Mus musculus: one gene and its partner. The protein of the gene in region 1 interacts with the protein of each later gene in a biochemical or structural test. Links are inferred from orthologs where the notes say so. Each region holds a gene or a part of one and is shown on either strand. Other genes may lie near its edges.

Region 1 (4,580 bases):
ATTAACCCAGTATTCCAAAGGCATCATTTTGCCTTTTGGATGGTCTTTATTTGCAGTGATTCCTTTAATTTGGAATCAGTACTGCCTGCAAGAGGACATTAGCTCTCAGGTAATGTATGAGCACTGTAATCAATGTTAATCATCTCAGTCCAGTCCCAGCTGCTAGTTGTGGGCTCTGTATAACATTAAGAGTCTACCTGGAATCTTTTCCTCCCGTCTGAACTAAGAGTTCTGACTTGTTTATTCAGCTGATTTCTATGCAATTTCTGTTGTGCCATGAAATTGAGGCAGCCAATGAAGACAGCTGGTGACATGTAGGATGTCATTGTCTATGCAAATAGCTGTCACATCATTCTTCTGAGCCTCATTTTAAAACAGAAGATAGAGCTGTGCTTTGTAAACTAAGAATTGCCTACAGATTCAAGAGATTCTGTCAGCCAATGGCAGTGAGTTAAGGCAAAGAGACAAAACTGCAAGCTTTTATTAAGTTGAATGTGAGATGAAAATAAAAGATAAGGAAAGCCAGCCCTTGATAATTCTCAGATTGGTTAAAGTTTATGATCATCAATGCCCTTTGATTCTCCTTCCCCTTCCAACCACCAACTACTGAATATTTCTCTTCTCATTAACACCTGTCTAGAAGTGGGAAGGTGAAATGCTAATCAGGCAATTTAGCTAATTGTTAGCTGCTGCTAGGATTTTTTTTTCTTCCTTTCTTTCAAGTTCGGAAAGGGAAATGGTGAAATCCATTTCTAAAATGTGAACAGTGGATTTCTAAACTTTATTTCACCTTCTCTTTCTTTCACTGCTGAAATGAATTCAGATATTTTGTTTTTAATAAGGTGTTGGAATAAAACCCTGAGACGGCATACTTCTCAGAGATTGATTTTTATTGTCACATTACATGCTTCTTATTGACTAATATTTAAAAATATTAATTTTTTACAACATGACTAGCTTAAAAGAATGGCCAGGAGTTACAAATTTCAGTTCTGAGTGTAGCCCTATATAAGTGCACTTGACTAGAGGATTTGGGACAACAACAAACCAACACAGAAAAATTACTAACAACTGCCCTCCCCTCTGCCTGTGGTAGACATTACATGATCCTCCCCTAGCCAAATAAGGGAGAGAGGAATGTTCTGAGTATTAGAGGCACTAAGAATAAATCTGAGCTATCTAGGGTAAGATTACTTTCAACTCTTTATTTTATGTTTTCTGACACCAATCCCCAATCTGTAATTATATCAGAGACACTGCGGGGGCTTAGACAGCACTTTCTAGATACTCTGGCTTTGTTTTCCTCTTTTATTTATTTGCTTTTATTTATTTACTTACTTATATTTGCCTGTATCTTTAGGGCTTGAGAGTTGGTGTGTGTGTGTGTGTGTGTGTGTGTGTTCCTCCAGAGTGCCAAAAAAAAAAAAAAAAGTGCTGAAGAGTCCAAGGCAGATGAGGCTATTTTTGTTTGAAGCTGATACTTTTAGCTGAGCCACAAGTACTGCTTGGAAAGGGCTTAGGTTGTTTCCAGGGGGAGAACTCTGCAGAGAAGAGGCAAAGTTCAACAAGACAACAAAAATCAGCCAGAAAATCCAGGAAAAGGAAGAGCCCTTGTCATACCCCTCTACCAGAGTTCTCTAATCCTACCTTATTCTGCAAAGTGCCACTTGACTGGAACTCTTCACCTGCTTGATTTCTGCACCCACCATGACTGAGATCACTGCTGAAGGTACTGTTGCCTGGGGACATTATGTAAATCAACAGCCTCAGGGACGCTATAGGCTTCAGCTGGCTTCTAGTTAATTAGTTCTGTGAGTCTACACAGGATCTGCAAAATGAAATTGGAAGCTGAGCGGTTGCCAGATTTGTGTGTTTGAGGGAGCAAGGGGAGATTTATCGGGAATTTTACGTGTGGAAAGTATTTTCTGCTATGCTAGAGGCCCCACTACCCTCTCCGTTATCACCTCACCTCTATAAATAGCTGAGGACATGGTGGCAAAAAATTTAAGACAAAAATTATAAGACATGTGAGGATGGAGATGGAAAAAAATCAGAATATTATGTGTGATGTGTCAGTTTAGAAATATGATCTGGAGCATCTTTTCTTTATAGTATTTAAAATTTGAATTCTTAAATGTCTTCTCTTTCCAGCTAGGGTGCACAGCTTGCTTATATGCATCGCAGATAGAAGTGCCCTGAAGAATCATAGTCATTTTACCATTGACAAATGCTCAAAGACAAAGTTAGAAATTTCAGAAAGTCAGAGAAGTCTAACTTTTAAAAATAAAGCATTTAACTCTTAGAAATCTAGTTATTTTGTAAACTCATTTCTTGTTTCTCTATAAGTAGTGTGTTTTATATTTATATTAACATATTTTCTATTTATACACTTATAATAAATCTACAAACACTCACACCCGTCTTACTAATGAAGTAATTCTTTAAAAATAATACAGTCTGGCTTTAGTTGAGGTAAAACTATGGAAGATACGCTTAACATTCTCTCTGACAGCAATAAGTACATAAGGCAGGTGGTACTTTTGACAGTTTCCAAGTTAAATGTCATTTTGTTTTTAACGAGACTGTAAAATAGAAATCTATTTGTTTTATCTTTTGTGTGGGTAGAAATCTATGTAAAGAAAATAATTTTCCCTGAAGATTTAGGCAATATCTGTGAGGAAAAAAAATGCCTTGCTTGTATTAGTTACAGAGATAGCCTGTCACCACAAATTAATAACAATATTACTGAGAGATTTCCATTTATTAGGTATTTTGTTTAGAAACTTATGCACATTTCGTTTGTGAGACCTCACACCATTCCACTAAGTAGCAATTTGATGTCTATTTCACACACAAAAAACCCTGTTACTCAGATATTCCATGACTTCCCATTACCAAATTGTAGTCAAGATTGGGTATCAGCTCCTTGAAGCCAGCCTGTGTTTTCTCTTTTCCATTAGAGGATATAAAATTTACTGTTTGCCAGTTTTAGTTCAGAATTTGCTAACTGAATGTAAATAATATTATAATTTTTTTTTCTATACTTTGGACATTCTGTGTCATGTCGCCCTTATGTTGGCCTTGAAAAGATCTGTCTATAAAAGTGTTCTGCTTATTCCTGTACAAGGTATTAAGAAACCTCTGGGCATTCCTGTCAGCCTGTGCTTGGAACCTAGGCTGCCACTAATTTCAGACATTGCTGGCCAATCGTGCTCCTTGATTACAGTGCATGTCCTACATGCATTTGCACTTGATCCATAGCACGTTTTATTAAAGGACTGTTGTTTTGAAATAGAATTATTTGTACCCATAGGGAGTTGAAGATGTTGTGAAGCCTCTGTGGTAGGGCCCATAAAACAGCAACTGAGAAAATCTGAGTTGACTACGTGAGCACAGCATATAATTTTCTGGATAATCATCATTTCCCATAGTCTGGTCTTCGGAGTAGGTAGGGTCTCTACCATGTGATCATGAGTGTTGTACTTATTCCTTCTTTGCAATGATCTGTTTATTTGTCAGGAGAAACTTAGATTGCCAGCTCAATGAATTTGTGTTATCTGTGGTTATTACCATAGTCAGTCTCCTCAGTTTTCCAAAGGATTTGACACTTTTTCTTTACCTTGTGATTCCCACTCTTTGTTTCTCATCTATAACAACCTTTCTTCATTCTTTCTTGTTTGCCTTTCATTAAAGAGATGTTTTGTAAAGGTCTTGTTTCTCATTGTTCTTTCAGCCTTCAGTTGTCTTTTCTTTCTTCTGCTGTATTTCACTTACCACCACTTTTGTGCAAATCCCTGAAGTATAAACACTGCAGGAGTAGCCTCATAGCATTTATCTATCTCATCTTTTACTCACTGAATATGAAAAGCAAACATTTTGAAGATTTAGACCAAGGAAGAACAAGGGTGATTCATTGGATGCCTGGTATCATAATAACTCTAAGTCTTTGGCCATTGCTAATTTTGGAAGTTCACAGGTTGACACCTTGGCTTATTTACTTCTAATACATGCCACAACTACCAAACTTACTGACTCTTTCACATATATTTTTCTATTGATACTTCAACTTGGATAATTCATTCAATGAAAAAAAAGAAAACCATGTTCCATGTCAAATGTGTTCCAGGCATAGGCACTAGGTAAAACAGAAATCAAAGTTGAACCCCAAAGGACTTTATGGAAACAACAACTTTTATTCTAGCCATGATAAAGATGGTAGTGATAATACTGAGTCAATTTATTGTCTGGAGTCTTAAGATATCAGACTTCTTAAATGCCCACTTAACCCTCTCAACATCGATGTGAAACAGTTTTATTGCTATTTATAAAGTTTGAAGCTAAGGTTTAGGAAGATTAAGAACTATGCAAGGACTGATACAACTTCAATTCATGTCTGAAAACAGTGAAGTTGAATCTGCCTTCTCATTGTGTGAGACTCAGAGTTAGTTTGATATTGGGTGGCTCTTGGGTGTCTACACTAGGTATATTGAGTAGCTGAGATTAGGCTCAGACCAGAGCCGAACGAACCAGTGCTCAGATCAGATCAGAGTCTTTAAATAGGACTCTCTTCACTTTGGAGA
Region 2 (3,819 bases), on another chromosome or scaffold:
CACAGAAGACCTAACTAAACAAACAAACAAACAAACAAACAAACAAAAAACGTCAACAAACTGAACTAACAAATTCCTCAGCCTGTCCACTCTCCTCAGTCCTTGCTATCCAAGATGCAATTATGCACACACAGCTGGAAGCAAATGAAGTACAAGGAAAGGGTGCTCCATGGAGAGTGAGGGAGAGAAGATCCAAGAGATTGTTGGAGATCTTTAAGTAGGTTCTTTCAGACTACAACGTAAGGCCTCAACCATCCAATTTTACATGCATAGACTTAGCATTGCAGACCCAGGCAGTGGCATCCGAGGACACAGGCACATGTGCACACATATGCATGCACGCGCCGCTTGACATGTGGTTCTGAACAGCTCTTGCTTTTAGGAGGTCATATTTACTTTCCGGGATGTGGGATGGATTATTGAGAGCAAGTGATAGAAAGACATAGAAACATCTCGTTAGAATGTCTGCTGCTGGTGCAGTGTTTACAGAATATCTGCAGACTTTTTTCTTTGCATGGTCACGGAGAAGGGAATTCTCAAAAGAAAAGGGATGTTGGGACATGAGAAAATAGAGAGCGCAGCCCTGCCCATCTCTCTGTATATGATCCTGATGAATCGCTCACCCAAGTTGTTCTTTGTATGTAAAACAGAGCAGAGATAGCTCTGACCACATCCAATCAGAGTGAGCATCACACAGCAGAAGCAACCTAATCACTTTACAGCTGTGGCCAGCACATAGCAAGAAGGCCATGTGCTTGACAGTATTACAGTTTCTGTTCATAAAAATCATTTCTCATCCCCCAGAAGCCTGTTCTTAGAACAGAGAGTGTGTAAGTGAACTCAGAGAAGAGTCTGTCATTTTCAAGCTTGTTGTACCAGAGGTGGCTGTACAAAAGATTGGGTCAATACTGGTCCTGGCCTGTATCTGTGTCATTTGTCTCCCTGACACTCCCTCTCCATCTCCCTCTCCCTCTCCCTCTCTCTCTTCTCTCTCGCTCTCACTCTCGCTCTCGCTCTCGCTGGGGACTGAACCCCATGCATGCCAGACGAAGCAGGTCTTTACTACCAAACTTCATCCCACTTCAGCCCACTTTTAAATTTTTTATCTTGAGACAAGATCTTCATAAATGAAGCTAGCCTTGGACTATTTCTAGTTTAATCTGATGTCAAATTTGTGATCTTCCTGCCTCAGCCCCTCCTCGTGCTGGGGTTATTGGGCTTCCACAGGCCCAGCCTGACTGGAGCTCTGTTTGCATGAACTCCACATAGGATGTTGGAATGAAAACGCTTGTTTTGGAATAGATTGACCTGGGATTAATAACAAGCAATGGTCCTTGCAAATGTGAGTGGACCTCCTTGTGTAAGAGCTTATGTAACACTCATGCCTCCCCTACTAGTCCCAACCCCTGGGTTACTGGATCACCACACTGTGGTTGCCACCAGAAGGTGTCAGCTCCAAGGCAATGCTGTGCAGTTTACAGGGAGCTATTGTTCCATCCTGTGCTTTCTTGAGCCATGGGCAAGCTAGAGAAGAGCAGTTGGCTTCCCATTGAGCCCTGCACATTCCAGGCCTCTCAAAGCATGTCACAGCGAGAGGTCCTGAGCTCAGCAACTTAGCAGCCAAACACAGCAACCATTCTTCCCTGACAACACATTGGTGTGTGGCCTCTTTAACCAAAAGAGACAATCTGTCAGGCTATAGGCACTTTGTTTGAGGTTAGTTATAGAGTGAGCCATTCATCCTGGCTTCCTGGGAACAACCCAGAGTTTAGCACTGAAAGTCCTATGCCCCTGGAAGCCTTTCTCTCCTATGCAAAAGCTAGTTATCTTTCAGCTGGACAGCCATTAGGCCCCAACAAAACACCTAGCAAGCTTGGTACAGAGACTGAACCCTAATAGGTTCCACCCTTCAGCTTAACTAGCAATCAGAAGACAGGTGAATGGATTGGCTTTTGATTCTGTGAGCCTATGTGCTCTAATGGTTTTCATCAATTGCCTTTTCCATCCAAATTAGCTCTGTTAAGGCCACCCAGTGAGCATGTTCTCTTACCATCTGCTCGCTCCTCCAGCCTTAGCAAACACAGCAGAGGGAAGATAACCATGCACTGACCTTCCCCACTTTTTATTCCAACCACTCCATGACACATGTAGGCCCTCACTCTCCAGATGAGTCTTTTTCTATTGAGCTTTCTTTGATCAAAGATAAGTCCAGCCCAGACCACAAGGAATACAAGTCCCTGCTACTTCAACATTTAAGTTAAAATTGCCCAGAATCTTGCATGTTGTTACCAAAGCACACAAGCACCAACTCTTGGGTAGGTAGGCCACTGCTACTCTAAGCTAGCATTTGAATGAACGATAATCCGATTTCTGCTTATTACAGGTGGCAAAGAAGTTATCCTTGAAGATGAACGAAGTTGGCTTCTATGAGCCATTTATGGATGAGCCCAACGTCATCCCTAACAAACCGTACACAGAAGAGGAGCTTGTGGAGTTTGTGAAGGAACATCAAAGGTACCTGAGATAACATGTAGAGGATGGGGTGGGAGGATGTCAGTGTTGACAGGCCAGAGCCACGAAGAGCAACAACCTAGAGTAAGACCCAGGAGAACAAAACTGGCCAGTGTGGCTTTGTCAATCATTGACCAGTATCAAGGATGTTACCACTTCTGAATAAGGTTCTACACTTGCAGGTAGGGTTAAACTACCTCCTTCGAGTGCAGACCCCTACCCCACCCCAAGCCAGAGTAAGATACAGATGAAACTCTATACTTTCAGCGACAACCTCCTGTGGGTAGAACAACATTCCAGGTGCTTTATGGGAGCAACTTTGGCTATTCTCCAACCTATGGAGCTGGTATTCTCCCAACGTCACAGCCATGAGATAAGTCTCAATAATTAAATAATATAACCCGGGACAATTCCACACGTTCTACAGATAGCTCCCAGGATAGGGATATTTGCTAAGACTCAGAGCATCTCCAGCAGGGGATCCACAAACTTTTTCACTGAAGAACCACATAGTAAATATTTACACAGTTCTGGGGGCAAATGGCCTTTGTTGCAGCTGTTCTGCTCTGGGATCCTATCGTATAAGCATCCTTGCTCAATGTGTAAACAGATGGGTGTGGTGAGGTCTAGTTACACAAACAAGAGGTCTTGGCCTGGGCTGGCCCACCAGCTGGAGCCCTCTGCCTCTGCTCTGGAGGGAAGAGCTATCTGGGAATATGGAACATGGTAGTGGGTCCACTGTGTCACCTCTCCTCCCTCCATATCATAGACAAATGTATTCACTGAGCCTGAAGCACCCCATCCCTACGCCTGGACAGTCTTTGTCCCTGAAGAGAGTCAGTGCTGGGAGGGTAAACATGACATCTATTGTGTTTCTGATGGATGATCCTGATGACAAAAACTGGCATTCTATATTTCAATAATTGTTGTCTGTCCCATTTCCTTGTTCTTGGTTGGCTCTGGACTTTCAGGAGTGGTCTCTATCTATGATGAGAGGTCACTAGGAAGGTGCTATCTCTTTTCCCTCTGACCATCCCCATACCCTTGGTGGGCCTTGGATCTAAGAAGGCTGTGACTGGGCTGAGTGGGTTTGGGCCTAGCTCTCTCCTGACAGGGCTGGTGGAAAAGCTCTGCTTCCTTGTGGGCAGAGATGAAATCAGGGCTCCTTGGGCTTAGGCGGAGAAGCCAAAGCCATCTTTGCATGGGCTGAGGCTTAGTTTCTTCAGTGGTGAACCTTACTCAAGGGCACTCCTTTGTTTTTCAGACCCACCCTACGTCGCTTGCGCCCAGAGGACATGTTTGAAACAT

Evidence for each region.
Region 2: the proteins of Trdn (region 1) and Casq2 form a complex in vitro, tested with the Homo sapiens proteins (3 studies listed by BioGRID). The link is inferred for Mus musculus from reciprocal best matches to the Homo sapiens genes TRDN and CASQ2.

Annotation. Positions count from the first base shown.
Region 1 is NC_000076.6:33,082,017-33,086,596, forward strand, and holds the start of Trdn (triadin), read left to right. Parts: upstream 1-1,466; 5' UTR 1,467-1,707; coding exon 1,708-1,729; intron 1,730-4,580. UniProt on the Homo sapiens protein: Contributes to the regulation of lumenal Ca2+ release via the sarcoplasmic reticulum calcium release channels RYR1 and RYR2, a key step in triggering skeletal and heart muscle contraction.
Region 2 is NC_000069.6:102,124,166-102,127,984, forward strand, and holds part of Casq2 (calsequestrin-2 isoform 2 precursor), read left to right. Parts: intron 1-2,383; coding exon 2,384-2,514; intron 2,515-3,775; coding exon 3,776-3,819. UniProt on the Homo sapiens protein: Calsequestrin is a high-capacity, moderate affinity, calcium-binding protein and thus acts as an internal calcium store in muscle. Calcium ions are bound by clusters of acidic residues at the protein surface, especially at the interface between subunits.